2 linked regions of the Sus scrofa genome follow. The protein of the gene in region 2 binds, or shares a complex with, the protein of the main gene of each other region. Links are inferred from orthologs where the notes say so. Each region holds a gene or a part of one and is shown on either strand. Other genes may lie near its edges.

Region 1 (4,177 bases), on a different chromosome or scaffold from region 2:
GAAGTTTGAGGGGAGCGTTCCTGTCCTGGCTCAGCGGAAACAAAACTGAATAGCATCCATGAAGATGCAGGTTCGATCCCTCGCCTTGCTCAGTGGGTTAAAGATCTAGCGTTGCCAGGAGTTGTGGTATAGGTCGCAGGTGTGGCTCAGATCCTGCGTGGCTATGGCTGTGGTGTAGGCCAGCAACTACAGCTCTAATCTGACTCCTAGCCTGGGAAACTCCATATGCCAAGGGTGTGGCCAAAAAGAAAAAAAAAAAAAAAAGAATTTTGAGGGAGTTCTTGTTGTGGCTCAGCAATAACGAACCTGACTGGTATCCATGAGGTTGCAGGTTTGATCCCTGACCCTGCTCAGCTGGGTAAGGATCCAGTGTTGCTGTGAGCTGTCATGTAGGTCTCAGACTCAGCTCAGATCCTGAGTTGCTGTGGCTCTGGTGTAGGAAAAGAATATAGTTCCCACTTCCATATGCCAAAGATGCGGCTCTAAAAAGCAGAAAGAAAAAAAGAGTTTTGAAACTTGGGCTCATGGAGTGAGTGGTATTATATGCCTGGAGGCATTTACCTTCTGCCCCACTTTCAAAATATTTCAAACACAAATATGTATTTTAGCTTTTCCTACACATTTCCTAGCTTAAGAAATGTACCTTGTTAGATTTACTTAGAATTGGTAATAATAGAAAGGTTTGTCTAGCTAAGGATATCAGCCTGCCTGGTTCTTACAGAGACCCATTTTGCAACCAATGTTTCTGTTTTTTTATACCTATACTCCCCCAGCTGAGAAGATGTGTTCAAGCCTTACTTTCCATAGTCTGTAGTTCAAAAACAATCGTTTTGGAAGTTCCCTTGTGGCGCAGCAGGTTGAGTTAAGGATCCAGTGTCGCTGCATTTCCCTTAAAATGTGAAATTATATTATTGACTATGTTCTTTTCCACCTACCCTTTGATTCCTTTGGTGCTTCTCCCTGCCATCAGCGGTTTACACAATTGTTCCAGTTTTGCAATAGCCTAAGTGCAACATAAAATCCGTTGTTCCACAAATACTCCAAGTTCTCTGGAAATACAAGCGATCAGTGTGTTCATTTTACCTTTACCTTCAGTAACCTGAGAAATGAACACAGTTCTGGGAGAGGGGGTATTGTGGGGTAGGAGATGGAGTGTGTTTCCTGTTTGATTGTTTCAGCAGACACCAGGACCAGTGCTGCAGGAAAAAACAAGCTGTTCCTCACATGACTAGATCCCCAGAGGGCTATCCTCTCCTGAAAGTAATTACAAGTGTATGAAAGGACATTAGAAACTCACAGGACGGGGGAAAGGAGCGTCTTGCCTGCTTTCTCGGCACAGTATTGCTGAACAGAATGATTAAGTCTGCAGCACTAACACAGACTGGATATCTCACGGATGACAAACTGAGGCAGGCCAGAAACACTTCTTTTTTCTTTTCTTTTTTTGTCTTTTTGCCTTTTCTAGGGCCGCACCTGAGGCATATGGAGGTTCCCAGGCTAGGGGTCCAATCGGAGCTATAGCTGCTGGCCTACACCAGAGCCACAGCAACGCCGGATCTGAGCGGCGTCTGCAACCTACCCCACAGCTCACGGCAACGCTGGATCCTTAACCCACTGAGCAAGGCCAGGGATCGAACCCGCAACCTCATGGTTCGTTAACCAGTGAGCTGCGAAGGGAACGCCTAGGAACATTTCTTGGTTGAATACACTTATATATCTTCCTTAGTGCGGTGTGGTTTTCCTATGTATTAACACAGACATTGTGTGAGATTGTTACTCATATCTCTATGTTATGGGAGAAGGAAACAGACTCATCAGGAGGGGAGAAGAGGAGGCGTGTTCAGAAGGTGCATTTGATGGGTTGGGAGTGCACTTTCCTGGAGACTAGCCTTTGGGACTCTAGGTTAGAATTGCCGATGAAGGCTTGCCCTGCCTCCAGCCTGGGAAACGGATGTGGGGTTTTAGAGATTGCTTTTAGGAGGTAATGTTTAAACGTAGAAAGGCGCAGTGATTCGGGGGTGAATTTGAAATCCACTTATCAGCAGCCCCCTTCGAGTGGAGGCATCTAGGAGTGTAACTAGAGCCATGCTCTGCGGAGTCTGCTGCACCGTCCCTCAGGGATAGAGTGGAGTTTCTGAGCCGGTGACTGAGGGCGGCCTGGAATTGTCAGCTGTGTGCGGGAAACCAGCGCTTTGTCTTCTCTCCCACAGCTGGAGAACGCGAGGCAGCGCTGAACCTTCCCCGCCTGGTCAAATACTGCCAAGGACAGGTGTTGGCAAAGAGCTCTCTTCTCAAATAGGATTCACAGTGAATCGGAGGGAAGGTGGGGGCTAAAAGGATACTGCTAAGCGAGGCCGGGGCACCACTGCTCTCGTATGGAGGATCCCACGAGCTCGCCTAGCGTCCGCCAGGTCTCGGAGGTTCTCCGAAAGCGGGAGGGCGGCAGCGCTGGCCCAGTGCCTCCCCCACCGGGCAGCGTCTTCTTTGTTACCCGAGCAAACCCCAGCGGGCTGGCTGCTATGGTAATGCTGGCTGCCCAAACCGGCGAGGGTGGGAGGAGGGAGGCGGGCCTCGGCGGACGTCACCCAGACTCGGTTTGGGGGTGCTGGCCCACCCACAAACAATTGTTTGCCGGAAAGGAAGCTTAAGGCAGAAGTTTTGTAAGTGGGGCCGCGTTAGTACAGAAGGAAGGGGGTCAGGAGCTCCCCCAGCGATCCTGCCCCCAACTTCGCTCCCGGCAACGATTTTAACGGTCTTTCAAAGAAGGGAGGAAGGGACTTTGGTAATTTAGGGTATTTGGTCAGACGGGCCACACCCTTTGCTCTAGCAAGGCACGCCCCCCGCGGGGATGGGCTAGTTCTAGACCACGCCCCTTCCCGAGCGCGCGGAAGGGGAACCGACATGGAGGGGCGGTCCTCAAACTGAACTGAACCGACGCAACTAATCGCGCGTAGGCTTGGGGTGGGTGGAGGCAAGGTTCCGAAGGCCTCCTCCGAGGTTGCCCCGCCCCGCCTTTTTCGCGACTCGCTCTTGGTTTTGCGCCTGCGCGTCGCTCTCGCGAGCTCTCGCGCTGAGCGAACACGGACAGAGTCTCCGGGGGCGCGCAGAAGGGGAGGGGCGGAGAGGGTCAGGCGCGCGCGTTTGCTGTGACGCGAAGAGAGCAGGCGAGTCGGGCGGATCGGATGGATAGAGTGGTACGACCAGATTGTTTGGTGGGTGGTGCGTAAGGTCGCTCTGGGCACGAGGGCGCCCATCTCACTAGGCCGCTTGGTTCTAGGAGCGGATCCCGGGCAGGGTGAGAAGAACGTCGGGTCGGGGCAGCTGCTACAGCTCCCGGGGAGTCTGCCCCGCAGCCCGTCTGCCCGCGCTTCGCGGGCCCTGCGGGTCAGGGTAAGCGAGCCCGCGCTAATCAGAGAGGAGTGTGGGATGAGAGTGTGTGGGAGGCTTTAAGGGCCTGCGGGAGGAAGAGGAGTGTGAGTATGCGTGAGGGACTGGGTGTGTGAAAACAAAAAGAGGCCCATCGAATAATAGCCGTAATAACTACCACTGCCACACGGTAATATTCTAGTGATGTGTGCCCGGACTTTACAAAGCACCTTGTATGTTTCATTCTGTTAACCTCTACTGCAATCCTCCAAGATGTTTACCGTCATTAAACCCATTTTACAAGAAGGGAAAACTGAGGCACGAGAGAGGCTAAGTAACTTATGCAAAGCCAAACACAGCTAGTCCATGTCCTGATTTCGAATTTAGGTCTGTCTCAAAAAAAAAGGGGGTAGTTAAAAGGAGGTGGAGAGGGCTGAGGGTGGTTTTAAGTGGAAGAGTCATCCGGAAAGAGAATCGAAGATAACGGGAGACGGTGGGAGGGAGAGGACCAGAGTTTGGAACCTTGCGGGCCGCCTCCTTCCTCCTGGTTCTTGCACAAGTTTTCCTTTTCTTTGGCTTCGTGACCCAGAGCTCTTGGCTCTGTAGGAGCCAGCTCACAGGCCTGGGCCACATGAGTGGTTTTAAGAACTGGTTGAACTGCGGTTCCGTCCAGGGTGGTGTCTTGGGACACTGTTTGGCTGGGGCTCCTGGGGGCCGGGGAGGGGAGGATGGCGGCCCCCGCGGCGGCGTATGGAGTTGTACCCTCTTCTGAGCGGCTGCCATTTCTTCTAAAGCGCTGCTACTTCCTTTT
Region 2 (3,632 bases):
ACAAAACAAAAAACCCTACCTATCTCAGAACTTTATGTTTTGGGGTACATTTGAGGTTACATTCCTCAATACTTCATTCAGAAGATAAACTAAATATAAAACACAGTACATTACCTAAAATATTACCATAAAACACCTCCAAGATAAGTTAGAATATGTGAACTTTTAAAATTCTTACTTATTTTAATTCTTACCCAATAATCTTCATCAATTATTTAAAAAAAAATATACAAACTCCCATCACACACACACATAAAAAACTATTTTCAGTGAAATGTGGAAGAAATAAACATATCCGTTAAATCAGAAAGAGGAAGCTGAGTTGGCTGAATCAACACAGGAATAAAATTGTGTATAAAGATTCTTCAAGGAGAAAACTTACTCAAGAAAAACACAGCTCCTTAGAAGGCTATAATATCAAACTTCATGGGATCCAGCTGACAGGGACTACAATAAAAGTCTAAATTAACTCTGAGAAGTTCAACAGAAATTGGCAAACCTATATGAAATAGGAAAAAAATAGACTATCTTCTAAGTTATACAGGTTTCCCACATTCTTCAGAAGTTAGATTACAGATATTCAAGATAAACAATTTTGTGATAGTACTTAATTTTGTCTATAAAACTTAATAGAAGAGAAATCTGAAGGGGAAAAACTACATAACTCACATAATTCTCAGTTACTTACAGATTTACTGTCATCATTACTTGATGTTGGATCTTTATAACTGGAACCAGGTAATGCTGGAAAGTCTTCGTTATGTATTGAGAAGTCCTGGGATTGCTCATTTGCTGGTTTTGTTACCATTCCAACTATGTAATGAAAATAATTCAGAGAATTGCAATTGATATTTATGATAAACTGCTACAAATTATAAAAATTTACTTTCCTCATGATAATATACCAAAAGGATTTTCTTATTATGCTTTGAAAGCACACTTCAAAAAATGAGTATTCTGGATAACAATGAATAAATTTTTATATATTGATTAATAACTAAATACATAAAATAATACAAGGGAAATAAGTAATAATCCTATAATTCTAATCTAATGTCATATATAGATGCTTAAAAACATAATTTGATATTGGTAATAATTATTAAAATTTTCAGTTTAAAAGTGCTTTTAATATCTGACTAGCTATTATAAATACCAGTTAACTGCCAAAAACAAATGAACAAAATAAATTTTAAAAGAACACATCAGTATTCTACTTGAAAGTGACTTACAGAGTGAGCAAATTGCAATCAATTACAAAACAACTCCATATTATTTCAGATTTTCTTGGACTCCATGTAATAGATGTAAAACATGCAAGAACTGGGAAGTAATCCTCCCACTATACTTGGCATTAGTCAGGCCCTTATTGGAGAACAATATCCAGTTTGGGGCTCCACAATTCAAGAACGATATGGAGAAACTAGAGATGGTCCAAGGAGAGCAACGGGAATGATTAAAGGGATGAAAAAATGGACCTATGAGGAAAGGTTAAAAACATTAGAGTCTGAACTGAGAATCAAGTAGCTAGGTACTCAACTTCCAGGGCAGATCATTTTGGTTTTTTTTAGGGGGGAGACTAATTAGGAAATTTTAGAATGTGAATAATAAATTTTTCCCTTCTTCACATATTATTTTTTATTCATATTCTGAAAGACAGAGAAATTCTTCTTGGTTGAAAATGGGGAAAACAGTTTTCTTAGAAAAGTGATGAAATGACCCCTCTTCTAAGTTCACTGTTTCTGCTACTGGTCTTTATCAGATTCTCTCAAAAGGAAACAACTATGTGCAAAGAATTAAAATAATATGGTTACACAGCTGTTACATAATCTTTATGTCTAGTTCTATGAGCCAAATCTCTTCTTTACTAAAGACAGTAAAAAGGGTGACCGAAAGACTACATAAACGACATGACCCATGAGCAGTTCTCAAGAGGAGGGAACTTTTCCTCCCATGGGGTATTTGTCAACACCTGGAGATACCTGTGGTTTTCACAGTGGGGGGTGGGGAGGTGGTATGGGTAGGGGTACAGGATGCTATTGGCACCGAATAGAGGCTTAGGGATGTGTAAACATTCTGTAATGCACAAGACAGCTTACAAGAACTATGTGACTCAAATGTCAAAAGTGCGGAGGCTGAGAGATGTAGAAAAAAATCATCCCAGAATTTATTAATTACTAGGAATGTGGGAATGCATTCTTTTAAAAAATATGTGACAAACTGAGAAAAGGCAGACTACAAATAATCATTAAGGTTTAGTATTAAGGCAGAAATGCCAGAAGAAGAAAAACATCTGAATACCAATAATTTCCTTTTGGGGTTTCCATACAAACTAAGTATGGAACACTATTTTGGTGTCCCGGGAGGAAAAAGCACTCTGCATTATCAACTCTGATAAAACTGCACTATTCTGACTACAAAACACATAAAAACATGTGAGTACACGTGTGTGTGTGTACTTCTGTACAACACAAAGTTTCCACTGGACATCATTAAAAAGTTTAATTACCATAAGGAGCTCTTCCAGCCAAGGGGTTTATTAATGGAGTTGGGTTACCACTTCCTTCCCTTCTGTTTCGGTCTGCTAATGCTGGAAAATCTGAAAGGTCCAATCCTGTCACATTTTCACTTCCATCTAAATAATAGGAAAGAACACTAGTTATTGGTTCTACAAACATTTTAAAAAGATTATTAAAGACCAAGTATAATATAAATGATAGTGCCTTCTTCTTAAACCATGTACAGCACTGTATTTGGTATACATAAATACACAATAAACATCTGGGGATCAACCTCATGTGGAAGAACTTTACGAACATCTCAGCCAAGCAATATGTACCTACTAGCATAATAAAAATCCCAAATCCTAGAGGCTTGAGATAGGGAATAAAGAGTAACATTTCCCTTGTGAAATGTTAGTTAGCCAGAGGGGAGGCTGTTGTGATAAAACTGCTCTTTTCATCGCCATCTAAAAGCAGAGGTTGTACCTGGAACACCTGGAGCTTCATTTATAACACAGATGTGATAATGACAGCGCGTCCTGCCAATGGCCTGAATCATATTGGAGGCACAGGCAAAGAAAGCAGAAACCCTAGGGATTTCTTTCGTCCTATGATCTATTGGTCCCATACACAAATGTGCATGTATATGAGGGGAGAGATGGGGAGAAAGAGAGGGAGAGAGAGGGAGGGAGGGAGAAAGTGTGTGTCTTGCAGGTGAGGGTGTAAGTAGGGCTGGAGAATGTATGGTATATGTAGGGTTCCCACATCTGGTTAGTGTCCGAACTGTATGGGACTATGATACAAACCCCAGCTTTTATTACCTATTACACAGTAGGCGCTCAATAAATATATATTGAATAAAATTTATTTTCGCTCAATTTTAAAAATTCAGCTTCTTTAAAAAAATAAAATTTAGCCCAACATTTCTACTTTGCCTATTTTAATCATTACCTTGACCTCTTTTCAATGTTTATTATTTATTACCCTTATAATCTTACATTCGTAATTTTCAAAGAATTTTTGACCTTAGAATTAGTCTGCACTATAGTTTTCTTAAATCTGTTTCATCTAGTGTATTATAACCATTTTCAATCTATTTTTCCCTCTTCCCAGTTAATTTGAATTTTTATC

The links. Proteins that work in one complex are often made in the same cells at the same time.
Region 1: CNOT2 (region 2) and CNOT8 share a complex: the UniProt entries of both Homo sapiens proteins name them as parts of the CCR4-NOT complex. The link is inferred for Sus scrofa from reciprocal best matches to the Homo sapiens genes CNOT2 and CNOT8.

What each region holds. Positions count from the first base shown.
Region 1 is NC_010458.4:68,349,131-68,353,307, reverse strand, and holds the start of CNOT8 (CCR4-NOT transcription complex subunit 8), read left to right. Parts: upstream 1-1,287; 5' UTR 1,288-1,409; intron 1,410-3,146; exon of another isoform or gene 3,147-3,194; intron 3,195-3,206; exon of another isoform or gene 3,207-3,390; intron 3,391-4,177. UniProt on the Homo sapiens protein: Has 3'-5' poly(A) exoribonuclease activity for synthetic poly(A) RNA substrate. Its function seems to be partially redundant with that of CNOT7.
Region 2 is NC_010447.5:34,529,859-34,533,490, reverse strand, and holds part of CNOT2 (CCR4-NOT transcription complex subunit 2), read right to left. Parts: intron 2,636-3,632; coding exon 2,510-2,635; intron 814-2,509; coding exon 689-813; intron 1-688. UniProt on the Homo sapiens protein: Component of the CCR4-NOT complex which is one of the major cellular mRNA deadenylases and is linked to various cellular processes including bulk mRNA degradation, miRNA-mediated repression, translational repression during translational initiation and general transcription regulation.